7 linked regions of the Cricetulus griseus genome follow. The protein of the gene in region 1 purifies or fractionates together with the protein of each later gene. This does not show direct contact. Links are inferred from orthologs where the notes say so. Each region holds a gene or a part of one and is shown in the gene's direction. Other genes may lie near its edges.

What was found.
Region 2: the proteins of Hnrnpa1 (region 1) and Ddx5 purify together in Homo sapiens (affinity purification with mass spectrometry; 4 studies listed by BioGRID and IntAct, with this or other methods). This does not show direct contact. The link is inferred for Cricetulus griseus from reciprocal best matches to the Homo sapiens genes HNRNPA1 and DDX5.
Region 3: the proteins of Hnrnpa1 (region 1) and Rps3a purify together in Homo sapiens (affinity purification with mass spectrometry; 3 studies listed by BioGRID and IntAct, counting the BioPlex papers as one, with this or other methods). This does not show direct contact. The link is inferred for Cricetulus griseus from reciprocal best matches to the Homo sapiens genes HNRNPA1 and RPS3A.
Region 4: the proteins of Hnrnpa1 (region 1) and Ilf2 purify together in Homo sapiens (affinity purification with mass spectrometry; 4 studies listed by BioGRID and IntAct, with this or other methods). This does not show direct contact. The link is inferred for Cricetulus griseus from reciprocal best matches to the Homo sapiens genes HNRNPA1 and ILF2.
Region 5: the proteins of Hnrnpa1 (region 1) and Hnrnpul2 purify together in Homo sapiens (affinity purification with mass spectrometry; 3 studies listed by BioGRID and IntAct, with this or other methods). This does not show direct contact. The link is inferred for Cricetulus griseus from reciprocal best matches to the Homo sapiens genes HNRNPA1 and HNRNPUL2.
Region 6: the proteins of Hnrnpa1 (region 1) and Ddx28 purify together in Homo sapiens (affinity purification with mass spectrometry; 3 studies listed by BioGRID and IntAct, with this or other methods). This does not show direct contact. The link is inferred for Cricetulus griseus from reciprocal best matches to the Homo sapiens genes HNRNPA1 and DDX28.
Region 7: the proteins of Hnrnpa1 (region 1) and Syncrip purify together in Homo sapiens (affinity purification with mass spectrometry; 5 studies listed by BioGRID and IntAct, with this or other methods). This does not show direct contact. The link is inferred for Cricetulus griseus from reciprocal best matches to the Homo sapiens genes HNRNPA1 and SYNCRIP.

The regions. Positions count from the first base shown.
Region 1 is NC_048595.1:399,611,774-399,615,920, forward strand, and holds the start of Hnrnpa1 (heterogeneous nuclear ribonucleoprotein A1), read left to right. Parts: upstream 1-1,347; 5' UTR 1,348-1,490; coding exon 1,491-1,505; intron 1,506-2,058; coding exon 2,059-2,175; intron 2,176-2,410; coding exon 2,411-2,557; intron 2,558-2,701; coding exon 2,702-2,912; intron 2,913-3,311; coding exon 3,312-3,404; intron 3,405-3,491; coding exon 3,492-3,584; intron 3,585-3,739; coding exon 3,740-3,814; intron 3,815-4,016; coding exon 4,017-4,147. UniProt on the Homo sapiens protein: Involved in the packaging of pre-mRNA into hnRNP particles, transport of poly(A) mRNA from the nucleus to the cytoplasm and modulation of splice site selection.
Region 2 is NC_048600.1:119,729,527-119,732,069, reverse strand, and holds part of Ddx5 (probable ATP-dependent RNA helicase DDX5), read left to right. Parts: intron 1-72; coding exon 73-138; intron 139-587; coding exon 588-729; intron 730-813; coding exon 814-974; intron 975-1,060; coding exon 1,061-1,233; intron 1,234-1,628; coding exon 1,629-1,739; intron 1,740-1,986; coding exon 1,987-2,048; intron 2,049-2,134; coding exon 2,135-2,194; intron 2,195-2,298; coding exon of another isoform or gene 2,299-2,312; exon of another isoform or gene 2,313-2,543. UniProt on the Homo sapiens protein: Involved in the alternative regulation of pre-mRNA splicing; its RNA helicase activity is necessary for increasing tau exon 10 inclusion and occurs in a RBM4-dependent manner. Binds to the tau pre-mRNA in the stem-loop region downstream of exon 10.
Region 3 is NW_023276806.1:68,278,007-68,282,163, forward strand, and holds the start of Rps3a (40S ribosomal protein S3a), read left to right. Parts: upstream 1-1,357; 5' UTR 1,358-1,453; coding exon 1,454-1,515; intron 1,516-2,169; coding exon 2,170-2,273; intron 2,274-2,536; coding exon 2,537-2,724; intron 2,725-3,490; exon of another isoform or gene 3,491-3,563; intron 3,564-4,157.
Region 4 is NW_023276806.1:64,071,091-64,074,590, reverse strand, and holds part of Ilf2 (interleukin enhancer-binding factor 2), read left to right. Parts: intron 1-1,767; coding exon 1,768-1,872; intron 1,873-2,358; coding exon 2,359-2,436; intron 2,437-2,738; coding exon 2,739-2,841; intron 2,842-3,500. UniProt on the Homo sapiens protein: Chromatin-interacting protein that forms a stable heterodimer with interleukin enhancer-binding factor 3/ILF3 and plays a role in several biological processes including transcription, innate immunity or cell growth.
Region 5 is NC_048596.1:51,268,683-51,272,728, reverse strand, and holds the start of Hnrnpul2 (heterogeneous nuclear ribonucleoprotein U-like protein 2), read left to right. Parts: upstream 1-1,246; 5' UTR 1,247-1,445; coding exon 1,446-1,977; intron 1,978-4,046.
Region 6 is NC_048596.1:182,307,713-182,311,420, reverse strand, and holds Ddx28 (probable ATP-dependent RNA helicase DDX28), read left to right. Parts: upstream 1-1,337; 5' UTR 1,338-1,371; coding exon 1,372-2,979; 3' UTR 2,980-3,208; downstream 3,209-3,708. UniProt on the Homo sapiens protein: Plays an essential role in facilitating the proper assembly of the mitochondrial large ribosomal subunit and its helicase activity is essential for this function. May be involved in RNA processing or transport. Has RNA and Mg(2+)-dependent ATPase activity.
Region 7 is NC_048597.1:198,378,426-198,381,925, reverse strand, and holds part of Syncrip (heterogeneous nuclear ribonucleoprotein Q), read left to right. Parts: intron 1-1,182; coding exon 1,183-1,388; intron 1,389-3,175; coding exon 3,176-3,325; intron 3,326-3,500. UniProt on the Homo sapiens protein: Heterogenous nuclear ribonucleoprotein (hnRNP) implicated in mRNA processing mechanisms. Component of the CRD-mediated complex that promotes MYC mRNA stability.

The DNA.
Region 1 (4,147 bases):
GCCATTTCAACCTAAAACTTTAATTAAATGTTTTCCTTTAAGAATTTTCAAAAACTAAAGCCTCCCTCCCTAAGTTCTTCAAAATATCAAGTGAAGGGATCTAAAAGAGCAAGAAAAATGCCAAACTAGAGGGGAACAAGAAAACATGCTTTCGTTAAGGTGATGTAGGGAATGATTGCCTCCACTATAGGAGTCATTGTAGATAAAATATGCACCCCTACAATTCCCTCTGAAGGCAAGATGCCTCTCTTTCAAGGAATCTCTCCATTTACTTGATCCAGGTTTGGTCCATGGATTTAACCTCCCGACTCCCGCGCTCCCCACTGGAGTCCAGCCTCTGCCGCTTGGAGAAGGCCGGCCTATCGCGCGCTTGGAGCTCATTGGCTCTGAGAGACGCCACTCGGGCGGGAAAAGCCCGCCTCCCGCATTCGGATGGCCCAAGGGCCGATCCGTAGGCAGCTATAGGAAGACCCAATTGGCCTATACACTCGTCAGTCAAACGCTCTGGTAGCGCAGCCCAAAAGGACCTGGCAGAATTAAAACATCCCGCCCCCGTTCTCCCATTGGCTGGCCCGACCCATCGCGGCCCCTTCACTGTCGCTCCCCCAAGTCCAGCGGGGCCCATTCATTTCGTACAATAACGAGTCCAATTGGAGCGGGTCCAGGAACTCCCACGGTTAGTCAAGACTCTGCCACTTACCCGGGATCTACAGTGACCACTCACACTAAGGCCTGCGCGGTTCCTCTGTGGTAAAGCTGCACCACAAGCCACCCGCTACCGCCGCCTTCTGCGCAACGCCAGCCGCCCGCCAAAACGGATCCTTTCCCTGCGCCTGCGCAACCAATCCTGGGCCCAGACCTTTTCTCCGCCCAAAACGCCTGCGCAAAGCAGGACGCAGCTCCCGCCAGTACGCAGGCGCCTTAGGTTCACCGCCCTCTCCCGCCCGCCGCCCGCCATTTCACGTGTTCAGTAGGCGAGCGGAACTCCTTAGTGCGCCGGCGTAAACTCGCCATTTTTATTACACATGCGCTCTCCGGGCAGTGGCTGCAAAAGTGGTAGCGAACTACTTTTCCTAACGTGTCGTGTTTTGCCAAGTGAGGTTATAATGTTCGGACGCTGGGAAGTTATGCAAGGCGTTTAAAGACATGGGTACATTCAAATATAAACCACTGGTTAGCTAGTCAATCAACCTGGTTAAAAAAAAAATCCCCCAGAGCGTCGATGACTCCGAAGGGCGGAGACTGCGTAGAACGCCCCAGCAGATGCCATCTCTTAGCAGGGCGGATCCACAGACCTAGAGTGGGCGGGAACAATTCCAGATCTCCAATCAGAGTAAGGCCAGGGCGGAGTCTACCAATGCCGAAAGCGAGGAGGCGGGATAAAAAGGCGAGCCGAAGGTAGGCTGGCGGATACGTTCGTTGACTTACTCCTTTCTGCCTGTTGACGCGGCGGAGGAAGCATCGCTGAAGGCTCTCGTTTCCCTGCCGTCATGTCTAAGTCGGAGGTGAGTTGTGCGCGCTCTGCGGCTTCGTTTCCTTCCATACGCAATGAACAGGACGGGATGCGACCTATTTTTCTGGCTGGCACCCATGCTTTCGGTGTTTGATCGGTCGTTGCCGAGGCCTGCTCACAAAGTGCAGGTCGCCATTTTGTCCTCGTAGTCGCCATGAGGCTGCCGTCCGCTAACCGCTAGTTTCCACACTCGGCTCCTAGTGGCAGAATTCACAGATATGCGACCTTGGGGGTTGTGGCTCTTTTTATTTTCTTTCTTGGCTTTGCCTAACTAACGTCTGCTAAGGCTTCAGTAAGTTTTAATGGCGATTGACCAGTCCAGCCCGTGTCTTTTGTTGCGCGTGCGTATAGAGTAGGGACGCATGCGCTGCATGCTAGTCCTCCCCCCCACGCCCCAACAGCACCTCCTGGCCCAGAGAGGAGCACGTGGTCTTGTGCTGTAATAAAGAACAATAAAAAAGTGCGGCCTATGTTGATGCGTGGAGTTGATCCATTCGCTCAAGTTCCAGCCCCTTAGCTAACGGCTCTCCTTTGATCCGATTCAGTCACCCAAGGAGCCGGAACAGCTGCGGAAGCTCTTCATTGGAGGGCTGAGCTTCGAAACAACCGACGAGAGTCTGAGAAGCCATTTTGAGCAATGGGGAACACTCACCGACTGTGTGGTAAGATTAGAAGGAACAAAAGGCGGGGCTGGTTTAATTTTATTGCTTTAATCATGCCGCACTTCTTACCCAGATGCTTTGTGAAGGTAATTAATGGTATAATTTTAAAAGGATCTTTGTTTGGGGGCCTTATGCTTGAGTCTAAATGGAGTTTTATGCTGGACATGTTCAGAGTTGGAATGGCCTCAGGTCCTGATATCAGGCAATATGTTGATTGAATTAACTCTATAAACAGGTAATGAGAGATCCAAATACGAAGCGATCCAGGGGCTTTGGTTTTGTCACGTACGCTACTGTGGAAGAAGTAGATGCCGCTATGAATGCAAGGCCACACAAGGTGGATGGCAGAGTTGTGGAACCTAAGAGAGCTGTTTCAAGAGAAGTGAGTGTTATTATGCTAATAGTTGGGTTCTCTTTTATCTAGACGCCAGATAGACCCCTAGAGTGCTGGGATTAAAGGCGTGGGCCACCACAGCTGCCAATCATTTGAAATGTACTAATAATGACTGCATCATTTTCCTTTTAGGATTCTCAAAGACCAGGGGCCCACTTAACTGTGAAAAAGATCTTTGTTGGTGGTATTAAAGAGGACACTGAAGAACATCACCTTCGTGATTATTTTGAGCAGTATGGGAAGATTGAAGTGATTGAAATCATGACGGACAGAGGCAGTGGGAAAAAAAGAGGGTTTGCTTTTGTCACCTTTGATGACCATGACTCTGTGGACAAGATTGTTAGTAAGTGTCAGATAATTAGATTTCTCTCCTCCTCCTCCCTCCCCCACAAACTGGGAATATTCTGTAGCTTTGGGTCCTTTCCTGGAAATGAGACCCGCCCTCAAACTCAGATGGCCTGTCTCTGCCTCCTGAATGCTGGGATTTATGGGGTGTTCCACCCCCCAGCCAGATTACATTTTTCTTTTGGGTGGATTCGAGACAGGGTTTCTCTGGCTTTAAAGGCTGTCCTGGAACTAGCTCATGTAGACCAGGCTGGTCTGAAGCTCAGAGATCTGCCTGCCTCTGCCTCCTGAGTGCTGGGATTAAAGGCGTGGGCCACCAACACCCATCGTGCTCAGATTTCTTAATGACTGGGACTCAGTGTGTTTAAAGCCCTAAAGTTAACTTTTTTTTTTTAAGTTCAGAAATACCATACTGTGAATGGCCACAACTGTGAAGTGAGAAAAGCCCTGTCAAAGCAAGAGATGGCCAGTGCTTCATCCAGCCAAAGAGGTATCTCTTGCTTAGTTAGAACTTGCAGAGGGTAGTTGGGTTGTTGCTGCAAGTTGGTCTAATGTAATGATCCAAACATCTCTTAAGGTCGAAGTGGTTCCGGAAACTTTGGTGGTGGTCGTGGAGGTGGTTTTGGCGGCAATGACAACTTTGGTCGAGGGGGAAACTTCAGTGGTCGAGGTGTGTACCTTTTGGATTTCTTAATTGCTTTTGGAACGATGGATAACTGCTAGTCTTTGTTTATAGCATTTAGATTTTACCCAAAACATAAGTTTTCGTTACACAGAGATTAGCATTTGCTTCATTCATATACCTAAAGCTCTGGTTTCTTACAGGTGGCTTCGGTGGTAGCCGTGGTGGTGGTGGATATGGTGGCAGTGGGGATGGCTATAATGGATTTGGTAATGACGGTAAGTTTCTTAAGGAATCCGTAAGTAAAATTTCTAGCAACCTATACCTTTAGACTAGGCTAGTAGACACTAAACCTAGTGCATGACAAAATCAACCAGCCCCGTAATACGCATGCTGTGAGCAGGCCATTAGTCATTACACTTGCATAGATTTTTATTGTTAAATACTTTTGTCTTATTGAGAAGGCTTGTATTCTTGTAGGTGGTTATGGAGGAGGCGGCCCTGGTTACTCTGGAGGAAGCAGAGGCTATGGAAGTGGTGGACAGGGTTATGGAAACCAGGGCAGTGGCTATGGCGGGAGTGGCAGCTATGACAGCTATAACAACGGAGGA
Region 2 (2,543 bases), on another chromosome or scaffold:
ATTCTGGGAGTGGTGACCTGATAATCTTTCATTTTTAATAAAATTTCTGTTTTCACGCTTCCCCTCCAACAGTATTTGCTGCCTGCCATTGTCCACATAAATCATCAGCCATTCCTAGAGAGGGGTGATGGGCCTATTGTAAGTATTTCTTAACTTTTTTGGTCCTTAACACTAAAAATTTTTAGACTACATAATCCCACTCAGTTTGCCAGAACTGGTTTGACTTTAGTTCCTTTTTCAAGTTACTAATGTCCAAGAACAATAAGCAAGGACGGATTTCAATCCCTACAACCTACACGTAGAGAACCAATCAGAAGTTCTGCTTTCCACATGTTCTCCCACATGCAAAAAAGTCTCTCTATCCTGAGCATAGTGGTTCATGCTTAATAGTCAGTGATCACTACTATAATCTCAGGCAGAAACTAGAGGATCTGGGAGTTGGAGGCCAGCTTCAATGACAGAAAGCCTTGTCTTAAATAAATCCAATTCCCAGCATGCACCCCACCTCACCTCCAAAAAAAACACAGCACCATAGTATACTGTTGTGTACTAAAAGCTGGGGTTTTTTGCAATTTTTTTTTCCTTAGTGCTTGGTGCTGGCACCAACACGGGAACTGGCCCAGCAAGTGCAGCAAGTTGCTGCTGAATACTGTAGAGCCTGTCGCTTGAAGTCTACCTGCATCTATGGGGGTGCTCCCAAGGGACCACAGATTCGTGATTTGGAAAGAGGTACATGATCATAAAGGGGGCTCCTTGTTACTGGTGGAATGAAAGGTTTACATGTTATAGTTACATTTGCTCCTTTAATTAAAGGTGTGGAAATCTGTATTGCAACACCTGGAAGACTGATTGACTTTTTAGAGTGTGGGAAAACCAACCTGAGAAGAACAACTTACCTTGTCCTCGATGAAGCTGATAGAATGCTTGATATGGGATTTGAACCCCAAATACGGAAAATTGTGGATCAAATAAGAGTGTGTATCCTTATGTTCTTAGTAAAGATCAGTTCTAAGTTTACTCTTAGGGTTCCAGTCTTAATTTATTTCCCAAAATTTTTTAGCCTGATAGGCAAACCCTAATGTGGAGTGCAACTTGGCCAAAAGAAGTAAGACAGCTTGCTGAAGATTTCCTGAAAGACTATATTCATATCAATATTGGTGCACTAGAACTGAGTGCAAACCATAACATTCTTCAGATTGTGGATGTGTGTCATGATGTAGAAAAGGATGAAAAGTAAGTTTAAATCTTAGCAATTTGAGAAGATCTTGAATTGTACAAGAGTAATTAGTTTTGAAAGTTGTCTTAAAATGAAATTTAGTATGGTATAGGTTCTTTTTAAAATGTGTTTGTGGATATATATATAGCTTGGTGATAAACCACTTGCCTGCCTGGCTGGCTTAAGAAAAAAGCTATATGAGTTTGAGCCTGGCCACTTCACAAGCACACGAAGTGGTATGCCAGTCTTTATGAAAATCTGTGTTGTGCTTGCCTAGTATTTAACCTTACTTCCTGTAAGGAAAGGACAGCCACGTGTCATAAGCTTTTACAGAAGTGGTTTAGTGGGTGTGTTGTTTTGACTTCCGTTGATACGTTTCACTAAGCACATTTCTTTTTTCTTTTCTCTTTAGGCTTATTCGTCTAATGGAAGAGATCATGAGTGAGAAGGAGAATAAAACCATTGTTTTTGTTGAAACCAAAAGAAGATGTGATGAACTTACCAGAAAAATGAGGAGAGATGGGTATGTGGTTTCCTGCCTCATGGTACTTTGATCAAAAGAGAGTTTTGTGGGGATCATCTATTCTACAATATAAGTAGAATTATACAAATTGATTTCAATGACAGTGTAGTGGTAACAGCTCAGGGATATAATGCTCAGTGGGAGAGCACTTGACTAAGATGAAGTACTATAGGGTTAGATTAAATATTGGTAGATTTCTGCCTTTGGGTTTCAAATGTAAGAGAGCTAATATAACTTGTTAATACAGGTGGCCTGCCATGGGCATCCACGGTGACAAGAGTCAACAGGAACGTGACTGGGTTCTAAATGGTGTGTATTTCAAATAAGATGAAGTTTGTTTATAACCTGATAACATTTGCTTGGATTAATGATCATTTATGTGTATGTCTTTGTAGAATTCAAACACGGAAAAGCTCCTATTCTGATTGCTACCGATGTGGCCTCCAGAGGGCTAGGTTAGTACAAACTCGAATTCATGGCTTGGTTTCCCAGAAGATCTCCATGTAGTTTTTTTTAAAGAAAGTTTATTGCTTTCTTTAACCTCTGCATTTTTTCTAAGTTTTTTTCACATAAAGGTGCAGTCTTTGTGGCAAGGCCTAGGCATGACAATCGGAGGACTCGAGGGGGATGGAGGACTAGTGATCGGCTGGCTGCTTCCAGTCGATTAGAGAGGTGAAAAGCTGAAAGTGTGCCAGTAATCTTCAAAGGGCAGAACATACCACCTCTGCCCCATAAACTGTTCTCTCCGGGGGAAAAAAATGGAAGTTACCTCACAGTTCACTGCCGTGGTATTTCATCTGTCCC
Region 3 (4,157 bases), on another chromosome or scaffold:
AGCAAGACTTTTGTCTGAAAAAACAAACATAAAAATGGTAAGTGGGGGGGCTGGAGAGATGGCTCAGTGGTTAAGAGCACTGACTGCTCTTCCAACGGACCGTCAATTCCCAGCACCCATATGATATGGCAGGTCACAACTGTCTGTAACTCCAGTTCCAGGGGATCTGACACTCTCGATACATGCAGGCAAAATACCAATGTACACAATATAAATAAATATTTTAAAAAATGGGAAAGGGGGTTTTACATTAAGAAAATTGGTGGGCAATTAGGTACAAGGATTGAACTCCACTGTGTCTTTTTTGAAGTGCTGAGGATGGAACCTAGGGCCTTAGACGTGCTTAGTCTTTACCACTGAGCGGCTCCAGTCTCCCATTCCACTAAAAAAGCAAAACACGCCCCCACCCGGGGCGGGGGCCGAGATGGCTCAGCTGGTAAAGGCACCCGCAGAGGCCTGACCCTGAGTTCTACCTGACCACCGCAGTTCCAGCCCTATACACATAAGAGAGTGGAATAAGAGAGTTGTTCTCTGACCTCCACACATAGGCTGGAGAGGGTACATGCATAACATAGGCACACACAAGCAATAAAAATATGATTGCAAATGTGTAAGAGATATGTAGGTAAGCATACACACTGGGCAGGAGTTGGTATCACAAACACCTTTGTTCTCGTTGATAAGTAAGAAATATACCGGAAAGTATCTATACCACCCCTCAGCTCAGTCTGTCTTACTAGGTAGTTCAGGCTGGTCTGGAACTCACAGTCCTCTAATTTGTTGTCCTGCCTCCAGAGCTCTGGGATTGCAGGCATGCGTTACCACCCCAGCTGAGCCTCTATCTTCATGCATGTTCACAAAACACCCATACCCGAGACTAATCAGAATCCAAATCAGCACGCGCGGGACGTGAGCAGCATGCCCGGAGTTATGCTTATTTAATTATACCAACGTTTTGAAGTAGATCATATCATTATTCCCATTTTACACGTGAGGGGACAGAAGGCCAGAGAGGTCGGAAGGCTAAGTACTGTTCAAACCACCTCTTGAACATGAACTTGCTGTCTCCGATTCAAAGCCCAGGCTCTAGGAAAGAAACAAACTCTCAAAGTTTAGAACACGAGACAGCTCAGAGGGCTTCTCCTCGTACGGAAACTTCCCACCCTGGGGGCAACTGGAACCACAGGAAACCTGGTGTGCGCGCCTCTGCCGGGCCTGCGCGCTCCTGACCTCAGCGAAGTCGCCCAGCCAGCCCCGCGGCCCGCTGCGCGGCCTCCCGACACACGAGGGCGCTGTCGCAGCCCGGTGGGAGCGAGCCGCTGACTCGTGTCGCGAGATTGAGAAAGCCGGAAGGGCGAAAGAGCAAGGGTCACGTAGACAGCGCTCCCCGCCCAGCTCGCGTAAGTTCTCGCGCGGGTACTACTTCCGCCCTTTTGGCTCTCTCAGCAGCACCATGGCGGTCGGCAAGAATAAGCGCCTGACGAAAGGCGGCAAGAAGGGCGCCAAGAAGAAAGTGTAAGTGGCGCATTTTGCGGATCCCCGCTCTTTGGGTCCCACAGGAGTTGGCGGGCTGGTTCTGGGCTGCAGCGTGGGGCGGATGGTGAGGATGCGGGGCGGATTGCGCGGCGACGCCGCTGGCCGGTGCGCTCCAGACGGCCGCCTCTTCCCCGGCCGGGCCGGGCGTCGCGCCCGCGTGTGAGCCGGGCTTTCGTCACGTGTAGCGATCTGTGGGCTCTGGGTGACTTAATGGTCCTGGGCACTTTTAATGTCCCTTCTACATCTGGGCTCGGCAGTCGCTGGCTCCTGCGCTGGGGCCTCGTGGACCCTGCCTGGGAGCTCCCGACACTTGCTGACCGGTCCGTGCTGTCACGGAATAGTTAATGTCACAGGACCTCCAGGTTCCGAGATAGTCTGAAATGCCGCCTGTGGGGTGGAGGAGCGGGAAAGGCATGGTTTCCAGCTTACCGGTTTGTCCTGTTGACAGGCACGCCGGCCTTAGGCTCATCACGGTGAGGGGCGTCATTTTGTATTAAAGACAAGCCGGTTTAAGATTTTTTTTTTGCCGGGGACATTGTCAGCGGAAGTAAGGACGAGGAAAGTTTAAGAGTTGGCAGTGGCAGTCTTGGGATTTATTACAAAGAAGCTTGAGTCTGTTTCTCTCAAATCTAGGGTTGATCCATTTTCGAAGAAAGACTGGTATGACGTGAAAGCGCCTGCGATGTTCAATATTAGAAACATTGGGAAAACACTAGTCACGAGGACTCAAGGAACCAGTGAGTACCAATACTTGTTTTGCTTTGTCCTTAAGCTGTTGCGTGTGTATTTTAACAGGCACCTGGGCCTGCTATTTTTTTTTGTTCTGTGATGGGAAAATCTGCCCAGTGCTTGCAGATTTGGCATTTGCGGTGTGTTTGTAGCAGCAAGGAGGTGTTTTTAGAGTTAGCCAAGAAAATGTTTGGTTGGGTATTGCTGGTAAGTCATTGATGTCCAAGTGGGTTTTTGAAACAATTTAATGGGTTCTTTGGTTCTTTCGTAGAAATTGCATCTGATGGCCTCAAGGGTCGTGTGTTTGAAGTGAGCCTTGCTGATCTGCAGAATGACGAAGTTGCATTTAGAAAATTCAAGCTAATTACTGAGGATGTTCAGGGCAAAAACTGTCTGACTAACTTCCATGGCATGGATCTTACCCGGGACAAGATGTGCTCCATGGTCAAAAAGTGGCAGGTGAGACCCCCCAGACTGCATTTGAGCATGTGCAAAGATGTCATGGTGCCGGGATGGGAAGGATCAAAACATGAAATGGAGTTAGATTTTATTTCAACCCTTTGTTTTCTTGGTGTTACACATTGCCGTAAGGTTTATATACATCGGTAAAACATGACATGAAAATTGTTTTCACTTGAAGAGTGAACAATTTTATTTTCCCACTGTGTTTATATATTGTTTAGCTAGCTTCTAGAGATAAAACTGCAATCAGTTTGGTCTTTCACCCACTTCTCTGAGTTCCTTCTGAACTCCCCTGCCCTCATGGATGACAAAGTTTTAACGTGTGGCCAAGGTGCTGTTTATTCTTTGGTGCTAGAGGTAGAACCCACCGGTTTCCACATGGGCTGTCACTCTTAAACTGAGCTGTAGCCTCTTGCCAAGTGTTTTACTGATAGAAGGACGATAGGCAAGGCGGGCAGCTTTGCCAGTTGAGAGTATATTTATGGTGAAAAGGTGGCTCTAACTAATTTGACTGTCTCTGACAGTGGTGTATAACAGTGACAGGACATTGTTGTGGGGCTAAAGTCATTCAGTCTCCATATTTTGTCTTTGGAAAGTAACAAGCTTAGCAGCTCGATTCTTCATTTGTAAAATCAGCTCGTTGAGTTGTGAAGATGAAATAGCTGATGCAGGTAATTGAGCTTCAGCACAGGGTAACCATGTCATTTCAGGAGATATTATTCCGATGTATCCAGGTAACAGTATTGGCATATTACAATATGGGAATGAATGATGACAAAATGTTTCGGTCCCAAATGAAACATCCTGATTTTACCGTTACATGTTTTTCTGACATTCCCTTACAGATTATGCAATTCTGGAAGTAAAAAGTTGTTTAATACATGCAATAAATAACTTTTGCAGTGGAAGTCAAGTTTTTTTTTTTTTTTTTTTTTTTTTGGAGGCAGGGTCTTACTAGGCTGCCCAGGCTGGCCTCAAACTCACAAAGATCCACCTGTTTCTGCCCCCCTGAGTGCTACAACTGAAGATGTGTGCCACCACTCATGGCAGATACTGGGTATATTTTAAAAGTCAAGGTACATAATTTATAAAATGCAAAGAGATTAAATCATTTTGCCACTAAAATGGCCCTTTAAAAGATGGAAATGTGGCCCAATTATGGTTTTTATTTAGATTTATCTGTAGGGTTATATATTTAAATCCTTGGCATGGCTTTAGTTTGGATTTAAAGGGATTTAAAATGCTCTTATGGCAGAACTTTTTTCCTTTGGAGAAAGGATCCCTAGCCTCTTAGGTATGGTGCTTGCTATGTAGACCAAGCTGGCCTTGAACTTGTGATTTGCCTTTGTATTCTAAGCAAAGGAATTGTAGATAACGTGTCATTGTGTTACTGGAGTTTTTATTTCTTCAGACTGGCATGGAACTTGTTA
Region 4 (3,500 bases), on another chromosome or scaffold:
ATGTACAGATCCCTGACGACATATTAGGTATGGTGGTATATACCTGTAATCCAAGCACAACTGGAGACCCAGGCAGGAAGATAAGTTTAATGTTAGCATCAGCTACATAGCAAGTTCAGGCCAGCCTATGATACAATAGACCCAGTATCAAAAAAATAACACAACAGAACAACAAGGTAATGAGAACTTGAATTAGGTTCTTCCTATTTATATTTGGACTTGAACATCTGAAGGAGTTAAAAGCCAGTGTTGCAAGCTGGGTGTTAACGTCTGTGAAATGGAGTAGATGGAAAAACAGAATCAAATGCACAATTTTGGGTGGGGGATGAGGGATGCGTGAGTATATTTATGTGTGTACACCATGCACAGGTGTAGTACTGGTTCCAGTGGAGGCTGAAGAGGGAGTCGGATTCCTTGGAACTGAATTCATAGGTGGTTGTGACCCCTATGTGGGTATTCCAAATTGAACCTGGGCCCTCTATAAGTCCAACAAGTGCTTTTAACTGCTGAGCCATCTCTCAAGGCCCCCCTCCTTTTTGGGGGCGCCAAGGTTTCTCTATAGCCTGGGTTGTTCTGCCTGGAACTCTCTGGAGATCAGGCTGACCTTGAACTCATGGAGATCTGTGTCCTCTGGAGTGCTGGGATTAAAGGCGTGGACCACCACCACACCTGATTTCCAGTCCCTATTATTATTTTTTAAGTGATTTTATTTATGTGCATAGTGTTTTGCCTGCATTTGTGTCTGTGTGAGGGTTTCAGATCCTCTGGAACTGGAGTTACAGACTATTGTGAGCTGCCATGTAGATGCCGGAAATTGGACCTAGGTACTCTGGAAGAGCAGTCAGTGCTCTTAACCACTGAGCCATCTCCTCAGCCCTATTTTTTTTTTTTTAAATATTTTATTATGTATACGACATTCTGCTTCCATGTATATCTGCACATTAGAAGAGGGCACCAGATCTCATTACAGATGGTTGTGAGCCACCATGTGGTTGCTGGGAATTGAACTCAGCATCTCTGGAAGAGCCGTCAGTGCTCTTAACCTCTGAGCCATCTCTCCAGCCCATCTCAGCCCTATTTTTATTTATTTAGTTTTTTTTTTTTTTTTTTTTTTTTTTGGTTTTGTGAGACAGGGTTTCTCTGTGTAACAGCTCTGGCTGTCCTGGAACTAGCTTTGTAGACCAGGCTGGCCTTAAACTCACAAAGATCAGTCTGCCTCTGCCTCTGCCTCCCAAATGCCTGCATTAAAGATGTATGCCACTATCACTTGGCCTAATTTTAGCCGGGAGATGGCAGCACATGCCTTTAATTCCAGCACTCGGGAGGCAGAGGCAGGCGGATCTCTGAGTTCAAGGCCAACCTGGTCTACAGAGTGAGTGCCAAGACAATCAGGACTACACAGAGGAAAAATGGTGTCTCAAAAAAACAAGTAGTAGTAGTAAGTGTTTTTATTACATTTGTCATCACATGTACACCACAACAAATGTGTGGAGATCAGAGGACAACTTGCAGGATTTGGTTCTCTGTGTGGGTCCCAGAAACTGATAACCCAGGGCCTTTATTGTCAAACCATCTCACTGGGTCTTGTTTATATATTTTTGAGACCAGGTCTCAGGTAGCCCAGGCTGGTGCTGAACTGTTGATTCTCCTGCCTCTGTCTTCAACGTGCTGAGATTATAAGTATATAACAATTTTTTTTTTCTTTTGAGAATCAGAAAAAATCTGTATATTATTTTTGGTAAATAACAAGTTTAATTTCTGGTTTAGTGTGAAATGGCTTTTCCTCGGGTCAAGCCCGCACCTGATGAAACGTCCTTCAGTGAAGCCTTGCTGAAGAGGAATCAGGACCTTGCCCCCAATTCTGCAGAGCAGGTATGTTCTTTCCTGAGTCTGTGCTAAGGCCTAAAGCATTAAGAGCTGGGCTGGAGAGATGGCTTAGAGATTAAGAGCACTTGCTACTCTTCCAGAGGACCTGGGTTCAGTTGCCAGCACCCACACGACAGCTCACAGCTGTCTTGTAAGTCCAGTTCCAGAAGATCTGATATCATCACATAAACATACATGCAGGCAAAACACCAATGTGCCTGTGAAATACAATTACAAAAAAAAAAAAAAAAAGAGCTAATAAAATGTTGTGTTGCTAGGATTGTAAGCCAGTGGTAGACCGCTTACCTAGCACTCTTGAGGGCTAGGGTTTCATTCCTATCAAGAGTGTTTTCAGAGCTCAAATTCCTCCTGTGTTTAATTATTCATTCCCCCTTCTTACTGTAGGTGGAGAGTCTAGTGATGATACAGATTAAAAATGTTGTTTTGTGTACTTTTTGGCCTTAGGGTATTTTTGCTTTGTGATGTTTTCAGGCTTCTATCCTTTCTTTGGTGACAAAAATAAACAATGTGATTGACAACTTGATTGTGGCTCCAGGGACATTTGAAGTGGTGAGTTTTTGATGAATTAATCCTAAGTAAGGGCACCCTTGGTGGTATGGAAATTTTCTTGTCCTTTGCCTGTCAAATTTCCAGTTGTCTGTTATCCAAATCAAAGCCCCAAATGGAAAAGTACAGGGACATTCTGGAACTCTTCATCCTGAGGATGAGATTTGTATCACTGGTCTAGTCATATGTGGTTGTTTGGGGGATGGGATTTTGTCGTGGCTGCTTCTAAATCTGGGTAGTAAGAAGCTGCTGAAATAGTTCTACCTTTGTTTCTCTAAATGTCCCTAAAATCCCCTTTTCAACAGCAAATTGAAGAAGTCCGACAGGTTGGATCATATAAAAAGGGGACGATGACGACAGGACACAATGTAGCTGACTTGGTGGTGATACTAAAGATCCTGCCAACATGTGAGTGTGTGTGTGTGTGTGCGCGCGCGCGCGCGCGCATCTGGTCTTTCTCTGTCGGGGTGGATCGTGGTGTTGGGCATGTTAGCCTGTCATGGGACGCCTGAGAGCACAGGATCCCTCAGAAGGTTTGAGTTTTCTCTGAGTATCTATGCAGTGGCAAGAGCAGATGGGCTTATAAAAACAGTTAGGTCTGTGTAAGTCAGAATTTAGTAGAGTTCTCAGCCCACCCTTCTTGGTATAGATTTACTTTATCTTTTTTTTATAGATTTGTTATGTATATAGTACTCTGCCTTCATGTATGCCTGCAGGCCAGAAAAGGGCACCAGATCCCATTACAGATGGTTGTGAGCCACCATGTGGTTGCTGGGAATTGAACTCAGGACCTCTGGAAGAGCAGCCAGTGCTCCTAACCACTCAGCCATCTTTCCAGCCCTTTATTTTATTTCTATTAGTGTTATGCTTGTATGAGTGTTATACATTCCATGTACATGCCTGAAGAGGGCTTTGGATCCCTTGGAACTGGAATTATACATGGTATGACCCACCAAATGGCTGTTGGGAACTGAACCCAGGTCTTCTACAAGAGGAAAAAGTACTCTTAACCTCTAAGCCTCCAGCCTACTTTCCTAAACATTGAGGTTAGATTTGGGGCTAATAAT
Region 5 (4,046 bases), on another chromosome or scaffold:
TCCAGAAGTTCCACAACAAAAGGAATAATGAGGTAGTGAAGCCATAGACCAAATGATTTCCAAAAGAAGAGATCCTGGCGTGAGTATAGACTCTAGGAAGATTTAAAGGCCCAAGTACAAATGCCAAGTGTTTGACCGCCGCAAAATTCGTTTCCTTTTCTCTGAGACACACCCCCTGACCTGGAAGAAGATGGAGTAGGCGGGAACAACTGAAACAAGTCAAAAAGGCTTCGCTCCTTCCCAAGCTCTTTATTTGACCTTATTCAACAAGCATTTGTTGATGTCTCTGCTGTTAATTAAGGAACCGAAGTGAATGAGGCCTGAACCTCCCAATCTGCAGGAGAGACAGATGTCGCATGCACAGGCAAACACAACAAGCGCAAGACTGCAGTGGCCCAAGCCCGGAAGTTTCCTCCAGGGATTCAGTTTAAGAGCCGCAGCACCGAGAGGAAAAGAGCCGGCTTCCCCGCAGTTTAGCATCTAATGGGGAGCGCGCATTGCGTCACTTCACCCAATCAGAAACGAGTCCAGAAAAGTAATCCCGCAAAAATGACCCCGCCTTCCCAGCGGACCAACCCGGAAAAAAAAAAAATTCCCGGCCACTTCTCCAATAGGAAAAAAAGCCGCACGATATCAGATGTCCAATCACAGCAACAGACTACGATTCAAGATGGCCAATGAGAGAGGCTAAGGGCGGGGTCGGAGCTTCTGTTGCTGGGTAGAAGTTTAAGCACAGAAAAAGACCCGGGCATTGCTCGCTCTCGCTGGAAAACCCTTTGCCTACGAGCTACGAAAACAACTGCTCTGCGCCAGGCAGCCCTCCGGCTTGTCTCGGTTGATGACTTTCAGAAGACGCAGTGAAAGAATACGGAAGAGACGACATCAAGTAAGACCTAGGGTGCCCCGGCGAGTGGGAGCGAGCAGGAAGTAAGAGTACTGACAGGGTGGGCGGGGCTCCGGCGCGACTGCGCAGAGCCTACAACCGAAGGACCGAACGAGGGGCACACACACGCTTCCGTGCTACGAGGCACTTGAGCCGCAGCCAGCCTTGCCGGAGCAGGTTCCTTGCGGCTGCGCAGTCATGAGGCCTCCGCTGATTGGCCGGGGCCTCTGAGGGGAGGGAGGGAAGGAGAAGTGAGGGAACTCGGTCGTCCTCAGCGCGCGCTCGCCCGCCAGCCCGCCTGCCCGCCCGTCCGCGGCCGAGAGCCGACTTTCTATCACTTGTTTGGGGCTCAGTGAGCCGCAAGGGGCAGGGCCGAAGGAGGGCGACACAAACACGCCGCTGTAACCGCGCGGCTCCTGCCGCCGCCTGCGTGCGCTTACGAGCGCGAGTACAGTGCTGGCGCGGGAGGCGGAGGCGGGCGGCGGCGGCGCCTGCGCGGTCGGGCTCGGTCGACAGTTCGCAGGGGAGGAGGCGGCGGGAGGCGGAGGAGGCGGCGGCGGCGATGGAGGTGAAGCGGCTGAAAGTGACCGAGCTGCGGTCGGAGCTGCAGCGGCGGGGCCTGGATTCGCGCGGCCTCAAGATGGATCTGGCGCAGCGGCTTCAGGAGGCTCTGGATGCTGAGATGCTGGAGGACGAGGCCGGCGTTGGCGGCGCCGGGCCCGGCGGGGCCTGCAAGGCGGAGCCTCGGCCTGTGGCCGCGTCGGGCGGAGGCCCGGGCGGGGACGACGACGAGGAGGACGACGAGGAGGAGGAGGACGAGGAGGCGCTGCTTGAGGACGAAGACGAGGAGCCACCTCCTGCTCAGGCGTTGGGCCAGGCCGCGCAGCCGCCTCCGGAGCCCCCGGAGGCGTCAGCCATGGAGGCCGAGCCCGAATCTTCCGACGCACCGGCGGAGGCCACGGCTGGGTCAGGTGGGGTAAACGGTGGTGAAGAGCATGACACCGGCAAGGGGGAGGAAGACGGGCCGGAGGAACGCAGCGGGGATGAGACGCCGGGATCCGAGGCACCGGGTGACAAGGCCACAGAAGAACAAGGTGAGGAACTTGCAGCAGAGCCAGGTTCCAACCCAGCCTGGTGCGTCTCTCTGATCCAGCACCCCACCCTGCACCGCGCCATCTGATTCCTTGTTTCCACTTGCCGGAAAGTGCACGGGTTCCGTGGCTGTTTGATGGGATTCCCCAGGGAACGTGGTTTTCATCCACTGCCCATGTTTTTTGAGGGTTTGGGTGCCTTGTTGCTCTCCTGTTTGCAGGAGGGAGGTTTCTGCCTAACGTGGTTTCTTGGTGTTAGTGGATGGAAGTGTGTGGTGTGGCATGCGTGTGTGCCTATGTCTGTGTCTGTGTGTACTTTGGAGCTACCTGTGGATCAGTCTTCTGGTGCTTCCTCTTTAGCTGAATACCTTTAGCAGAAAATGTAGTGAGAAATTGGCGATCTGCAGGTACCAGTTAGACGCTTAGGGCTTCGACCTATCTGACAGTTAATTTCTTACAGTGAGAATGTTAAGCAGTAAACACTCTGTGATGTGTTTTTCTGTCAAACTCCCGTTAGAGCTTAAGCCTTACAGAGACTGGGTAGCTAACCTTGCTCCTTCCTGCTTGGCGGTAGTAGACGGTGTCTAGTATGAGCCTATTGCGTTTAATCATTAACTAGCAAAGAAAAAGTCTTAGTAACTTTTAGTAGCATGTTAGTTGCTTGAATGAGGCTTTTTTACCTTGTCCCTCTTGTTTTTATATCTTAATTCTCCTTCCAAGTCAGTAAATGGGCGTATGTTTAGACTTACTCTACACCGGTGCCTTTAAGGCTCTTGACTTCCTGAGCTGAAATGGTTGAGGGGTTTCTAGTGGGTCAGTTGAGTAACCTTGTGGTAGAAAATGTGTAGAGACTTCCCCTGGGAGTTAATGACCTTTCTCCTTTCTTTTGAAATGCTTGCCTGGTTAGAGCTAATCCATAGTGTCTGACTGTCAGGGGAAGGAGAGCTGCTTCCAAGTCTTACTTCCAAGGGGATTGCCTTAAGTTTTTTATATCTTTTTTTTTTTGTTTTTTTTTTTAAGGCTGTTAGTGTCATGTAGTTGGAATCTATTTTACAATGATTGAATACAAAGTATAGTGTTTGGGGGGGTTGTTGTGTCTTATGTCCTGGAACAAAATTCCTATTACATAACCATTAACTTGTGTGTATCCTAAATAGCAGATAAAAAGCATTCACAGATAAGAGAGTACTTTAGAGGAATTGTTGAAGAAGACTTTTTAAGCTTCAAAACAAAAGCCTAAGGGAAAAAGAAAACGCTATGTGTTACTCCTTGTAAAGAATGCTGCTGTCAGGCTTAGTGGCACATGCATTCAGTCCCAGCACTTGGGAAGCAGAAGCAGGCAGATCTCTAAGTTGAGGCCATCCTGGTCTACATTGTGAGTTCTAGGACAGCCAGAGTTACATAGTGAGACCCTGTCTAGAAAAAAAAAGAAAAGAAAAGAAAAAAAGAATGTTGCTAAATATCCACCACCACCTTCCTGCCCCAAATTCCATGAAGTGAAGCTTTGGTGTTATTTATGGTTCACTTGTGACTTACTGATTTGCACTGGTAGCTTTCAATTAAAATACCTGTTAAAAATTCAGCTGCCATTGTGTGGCTGTGCATTTTAATGCAGAAAAGTAGTCTCTTAAAGAAAATATAAGCCTTCTGTTCCATATAGCTGTTGAAAGGCATTAGAAAATAGTCATTAAGTACTTGCCATAAATACAAATCTGATGAGAATTGAAATTCACCTGTGAAGGTTTTCAAACAACTTCAGGGATATTTTCCTTTCTTATTAGTGGGGAGATCTGCCATGTTGGCTTGAATGAAGTAGATAAATTTAGAATGGAAAAATTGCCCAACTTTTTCTATTTCTTGACTGTATTTAGCTCACTGTGCCCCTCACCTTAACCAATGAAAAGATAATTGGAAATAAACCATTACATACATACATGCATACATACATACATACATACATACATACTAGGAACACTTTGAATCAGATACCCTCAATTTCCCATATTGGTTAACTCAGATTCTCTTAGTTCTGAGCTTATTCTCTGCTCCAGTATAAAAACTGCTGATTTTCT
Region 6 (3,708 bases), on another chromosome or scaffold:
AAATGACAGCAGGCGAGCATAGTATCACTAAGCTACATCCCAACCCTCTCCAATATGTTTGAAATCATTTGCAAATTACTTACAATGACTAATACAATATAAACACAACGTAAATAGTTGTTATACTGTATTGTTGGGGAGTAACATGAAAGGAAAACGTATATAAATGTTTAGTACAGACACAATTTTTTCATGAATATTTTCACTCTACAGTGGGAAAAATCCACAGATGTCCACCTAGAAATATGAAGGGCCAGCTCTAGTTAATGTAATTAAAATATTTTCTCCAGATACTAGGAACCTCCCAGGTAATCAACCCACAAACATTGACCTTATCTCCCACTCCAGGCACTCATTGTTTTTTCCAGAAGTCTGGCATCCATTGTTTTTTCCAGAAGTGTTCAAGTATGAAACTTAAAAAGAAAAAAGTTTAAATAACCTGAACCACTACATTGAAGTCAAGTAGTCTGCTATGTGAGAGATAAGCTTGATCACGCCAGGAAGATAACAAGACCCTTCATACTACTTCTATTCAGGCAACTCAGAATCTGCCTGAGAAGTTAATGGAATATCAAGAGTGGTGAATCCCGCCGGGCAGTGGTGGCTCAGGCCTTTAATCCCAGCACAGACAGGCGAATCTCGATGAGTTCAAAACCAGCCTGATCTACAGAGCGAATTCCAGGACAGGCCCCAAAGCTACACAGAGAAATCCTGCCTCAGAAAACAAAAGCAAATCAAACAAACAAACAAAAAGAGTGATGAATCCAGTTTGAGAAGGGGTGACAGGGAATGGAGGGTCCTGGAAAGACAGGGACCTAAACGAACTGAGACAAAATAAGCTGCAGGCAACCGGCATGCACTCTGGAGTCCAAACTAGAGAACAGGCTTGCGCCCAGATCCAGACTCCCATTCAGAGTCATTCAGACTCTTACACACTTGTATCACCCAGGCTTTGAGCAGAGCGCACATCTATGAAAACATCGCCGCACTCCGAACACTTGGGGAGTTTTATGGGCAATGAAGACCACAAATAAGAATCTCAGAAATTAAGCACCCAATTGACAGAGGCCATCCTCACTCCTGATAACTTCAGTCAGGGCCCCACAGCCTCCTCCTATGGCCGACCCCCACTCCTGCCACCACCGAGCACTCTTCCCGAAAGATGATCCCAATCTGGACGTCGTCATGCCCCCTGGGAACCTACACACCTCGCAGCCACTGAACTCTGAGGATCCTCCCTCCTTCCGGACGGTGCTGCAGCGCCACACGCTACACGCCTCACGCAACACTGAGCCGAGCCAGCCACCGTACTCGAGACCACGGTCGCGTACTTGACGTCACTGACTAGCGCCTCTCTGCATCAAAGGAACTATGGCTTTAGAGCGGCCTACTCGGCTGCTATCACTAGCAGTTCGGTTGCTTCTGGAACCACGACGGAACATAGCGGTGCGCGGTTCCGACGAGCCCTTGCCAGTGGTGCGCATTCCGCGGGCTCTGCAGCGACGGCAGCAACAGCGCGATCGTGGGAGTTTCCCACGGCCGGTGCTAGTGCGACCTGGTCCGCTGCTGGTCTCGGCACGGCGGCCGGAGTTGAACCAGCCCGCGCGCCTCACGCTGGGTCGCTGGGAGTGCGCGCCTCTGGCTTCGCGTGGCTGGAGGCATCGGCGATCGCTTAAGGATCATTTTTCCATAGAGCGGGTGCAGCAGGAGGCTCCCGCCCTGACTAACCTCTCGTCCCGTGGCAGCTTCGTGGACCTGGGTCTGGAACCCCGAGTGCTGCTCGCGCTTCAGGAGGCTGCGCCCGAAGTCGTTCGGCCAACCTCAGTGCAGTCGAAAACCATCCCCCCACTGCTTCGCGGCCGCCACATCCTTTGCGCTGCCGAAACTGGTAGTGGGAAGACTCTCAGCTACCTACTGCCCCTGTTTCAACGTCTCCTGAGCCGGCCAGACCCGGATTCCCGCAGTTCCGCAGCACCCCGGGGCTTGGTTCTGGTACCTTCCCGAGAATTAGCCGAACAGGTGCGGGCTGTGGCCCAGTCATTGGGTAGGTACTTGGGCCTGCAGGTAATAGAGCTCGGAGGAGGCCTCGGCAGGGCCAAGCTCAAACTGCAGCTGTGTAGACAACCGTCAGCAGATGTGCTTGTGGCCACTCCAGGGGCTTTGTGGAAGGCCCTGAAAAGTCAACTGATCAGCTTACAGCTTCTTTCCTTCATAGTGTTGGATGAAGCGGACACGTTGCTGGATGAAAGCTTCCTGGAACTTGTGGATTACATCTTGGAAAAGAGCCCTATAGCAGAAAGTCCAGCTGAGTTAGAAGACCCCTTTAATCCCAAAGCTCAGTTAGTGATGGTGGGAGCCACGTTTCCAGAAGGCGTAAACCAATTGCTGAGTAAAGTCACCAGCCCAGACTATCTCACCACCATCACAAGCTCCAAGCTCCACTGCATTATGCCTCATGTCAGACAGACATTTATGAGACTAAAGGGAGCCGAGAAGGTGACAGAACTGGTTCAGATCCTCAAACAGCATGACAAAGCCAATAAGACAAAACCCTCAGGAACTGTCCTGGTGTTCTGCAACAGCTCCAGCACTGTGAACTGGTTGGGATATATTCTGGATGACCACAAAATCCAACATCTAAGGCTGCAAGGGCAAATGCCAGCCTCAATGAGAACAGGTATCTTCCAGAGTTTCCAAAAGGGCTCCCAAGACATACTTATCTGCACAGACATAGCCTCACGAGGTCTAGATAGTATCCATGTGGAACTGGTTGTCAACTATGATTTTCCCCCTACTCTGCAAGATTATATCCACAGAGCAGGAAGGGTGGGTCGTGTGGGCAGTGAAGTGCCAGGGACCATTATCAGTTTTGTGACCCATCCCTGGGATGTGAGCCTGGTTCAGAAAATTGAGCTGGCAGCTCGTCGAAGAAGAAGCCTTCCAGGACTAGCATCTTCAGTGAAAGACCCTTTGCCTTAACAAGCCTAATCTTTGGCTGGCTTGAATCTGATGCTAGAACAGGGATCTCCCTGGGGGAACAGGGGAATTGAACACATTTGTCAGTGGATCACATTGGATCACTATACTACCCCTTGCCTCTCTGAAAACATGATGAACTGTTTGGAGATTTGAAAAGTAAGCTACTGGCCAGAACTGGAAACTAACATATTAAAAAAATAATAATAAAGTGGATTTTGACTTCATATAATATCATGGTTTCATTTTTCTTCTAATTGTATGTTGGGGGGGTGGTGGTCAGAAGACAACTTTGTATCAGTTCTCTCTTTCTACCTTTCTGTGTTTTCCAGGTATCTGAGAGCACCAGATTTGCTTAACAAGTGCATTTATCCACTTAGCTACCTCATGTCATGATTTCTAACAAGAATGATTTGTGTATTTTGAAACAGGTTGGCGCTCCGTAGCCCACAATTGAACTCACTATGTGTAATTAGCTCAAGTTGGTCTCCAGTTATCCTTTTCTTCATCTCTTGCCCCCCCCCCTTTTTGAGAAAGGATTAAATTAATCCCCAGTGCTGGGATTAATTAATTAAGGCATGTGCCACCACCACCCGGCTTTTTTGTCTTGTTTTGGATTTTGCTCCTTCCCTTTTTTTCCAATGTTTTTTTTAAGACAGGGTGTCTTCCCTGGGTGGTGGTGGCATATGCCTTTACTCTCAGCACTTGGAAGGCAGATGTAGAAGGATCTCC
Region 7 (3,500 bases), on another chromosome or scaffold:
AGACAATAAGACAAAACTAAACATGGAAATACATCTGCAATTTGAAATCAGTCTGTGAAATTATTGCACATCCCTTCCTTGCTTTGTATTTATTTCCCATCTCTTCCTTGTTTTGTGTTTATTTCCACACTTTAGCTGTTATTTGCCTGCATGTATGTCTGTGAAGTTGTAAGACTCCTGGAACTGGAGTTACAGGCAGTTGCGAGGTGCTTTGTGGGTGCTCTGAATTGAACACCTGGCCTTTGGAAGAACAGCCAGTGCTTTTAACCACTGAGCCATCTCTCCAGCCCCCTAGTGGTTTTTAATTCTTAGATATGAATGAAGCCTTTTCACCTGTGTTAAAGGAACAAGTGTTAAAAGCAGAGACATATTGTTAACATGGTACTTTTGTTTTTTTTAACATTAATCTACCTACAGTGTTGAGAAAATTATCTTTCTGTTAACAGTCTGTAGAAACATAGAAAAGTGTTCTGCATTAACAGTATTTACTATTTTCCTTTGAAGAATGCCATTGTTATTTGAGAACAGAAAAAGATGCCATTTAAACCAATTTCAGAGATGGTAAAATATGAATAAAAAAAAAGCAAAAGGGTGGTGGATGTAGCTCAACCTAGGTAAGATTTTTACTTAGGCTGAAGACCAGGGGTCTTCACGTGACCATTCCCTCCCAAATAGAATTTTAATGCAATGAATTAATTTAATCATGTTTGACAAAGAGATAGCATTTTTTTAGATGAGCAGACGAATTTTATTTGTCTTATACCTTAGTGGAATCAAAATGGTTCCCATGGCTAGTTAAGTAGTTTGCTTTTGTTGGGTTTTCTGGGCTAGAAAGCTAGGGTAGGGTTGGGTTGATTTGGAAAATTAATAATTTTTTTTTGTGGGGGAGAGTATGTCTCTTGCTTTTGTTTTTTGTTTTTATAGAGACAGGATTTCTTTGTACCAGCCCTGGCTGTCCTGAACACACTCTGTAGAGCAGGCTGGCTTTGAACTCACAGAGATCTGCCTGCCTCTCTGCTGGGATTAAAGGCATGTACCACCACCACCTGGCTTTTGCTTCTTTAAAAGATAATTGCTGTTAGTAAAAGTTTGTATTTTTCATGTTTTATTTAAAGAGTAGCTTATTAAACACAAATTAATTGCTAGTTAACCTACTTTTCTGGGATGTTTGTTTAATTTCAGAGGGTCTCACAGATGTCATTTTATATCACCAACCGGATGACAAGAAAAAAAATAGAGGCTTTTGCTTTCTTGAATATGAAGATCACAAAACAGCTGCACAGGCAAGGCGTAGGTTAATGAGTGGTAAAGTCAAAGTCTGGGGAAATGTTGGAACTGTTGAATGGGCTGATCCCATAGAAGATCCTGATCCTGAAGTTATGGCAAAGGTAATTACAGTAAAGTAAAACAATTTTTATTGGGTTAATAAGAGGAGCATAAGAAAAAACTTAGTAAATGAATTGTTTGCATTGTTTTAAATGTTTTTGAAGGTAAAAAGTTTACTAAGCAATTAGTTATACACTAAAAAATGTGAGTGCACGGAAGGTATTCTAGAGCACTTTCTTTTGAATATTTGAGGGTGATGTAATTAATTTTATTTTATTTTTTTATGAGTCATACCCTGTAACAAAACAAAGGAAAAAAATCAAATAAATGAATTATTATTATTTTTTTTTTTTTCAGCAAACAGTTGAGGGTTAACTCTTGAGGTAACTCTTGAGTGCAGTTTGGATATTCTGTCTTGTCTTTTAGGAATCCCTTTAATAGTTAAAAGGTCATGTTTGCTTAAATCTATAGAAGGCAGTTTTAACTATTGGGAGTGCTGACTACTATTGAACAATTATATTTTGAGAAATTTTCAGGAGGAGGGAGTTAGATGTTCCTGGAAATTGAACCCAGGATCTCATGTGTGATGTGTCAGCAAGCTTTTTTATTTTTTAATTTTATTATGTATACAGTGTTCTGTCTGCATGTATGCCTGCAGGTCAGAAGAGAGCACCATTATTGATGGTTGTGAGGCACCATGTGATTTCTGGGAATTGAACTCAGGATCTTTGGAAGAGCAGGCAGTGCTTTTAACTGTTGAGCCATCTGTCCAGCACAACTCCCAGGATGTTACTAGTATTTTAAAGCACTTTATCCAACATTTCAAAAGCAGTCTTAGGTTTCGATAATCACCATTATAGTATCCCAGAAATTATATTACTGTGCTTTGATTATCTCTATCCCTCAAATCTTGACAGCCCTTCTTCCCTTTTACCATTTCAGAATGTCACATGATTGGTATCATGCCTATATAGATTTCTGAGAGTCCGTGGCAACATTTTAAATGTCCTCTTTTTGTGAATTTTATGTCCTGGCTATCCTGGAAGTCCTTTAGATTCCCCTGCCCCTGCATCCCAGATTCCCCTGCCCCTGCCCCTGCCCCTGCCTCCTGAGTAGTTGGAATGCTGGGATTGAAGGCATGCAACACCACTCCCTGACTTATAGCTAAAAATTCTGCTTTGTTTGTACATTCATATATTGAAGGGATATCTTTTTACTGTTTGGGGGGAGTTATGAATAAAGCTGTTAGAAGCATCTGGATGCAAGTTTTTGTAGGAACATAAAACTTAACAACTCTTCAGTAAATATAAATAGGGAGTAATAACACAAGATTATAAGATAAGAATATGGTTAGTTTTATAAGGAACCGCCTTAAACACAGGGGCTGCATCAGTTTACACCCCAGTTTTTGTGAATGAAAGTTTATTTCTTCCTAATCCTCAGGTTTGAAGCTTTAAAGTGTTGTAATCCCAACATGTTTCTAGGTTGTTTTTGTTTGTTTTCAATACAGAGTTTCTCTGTGTAATAATAGCTCTGGCTGTCCTGGAACTAAGAGATCCTCCTCCCTCTGTCTCCTGTGTTCTGGGGTTTAAGTAAGGTGTGTAGTGTACTTCAGCTTTAGCTTGCTTATCTGTTAATAATTGAACACATTTTTCGTGGTAGAACTTGGTTTGGTAATACCTTTATTATTGTTTCGGTTTTTACTTTTATCAGCAATTTCACTCTTTGGCATTTACCCACAGGAAATTAAAACTATATATACTTACTGGTTGTGTTTCAAGTTAACTTTGTAGGATGGGGTGGTTGCTTTTGGAAATTGAATTCTGGAAAATTTGCTTTTTTATTTCAGGTAAAAGTGCTGTTTGTACGCAACCTTGCCAATACTGTAACAGAAGAAATTTTAGAAAAGTCATTTAGTCAGTTTGGGAAACTGGAACGAGTGAAGAAACTAAAAGATTATGCTTTCATTCATTTTGATGAGCGAGATGGTGCAGTCAAGGTAAAAAAGTGGTAGAAATTTCATAGGCATCTAAAGAGACCAATATTTTATAGTCTTAAAATCCCATGCTTAATAAATTTGATGCAAAGTTCAAGTTATGAAATTTAGTCAAGCAAACCATTTAAGTAAAAATAGCATCGAGGAAGATCTTTAATTATATTGCAACCATGTTTTA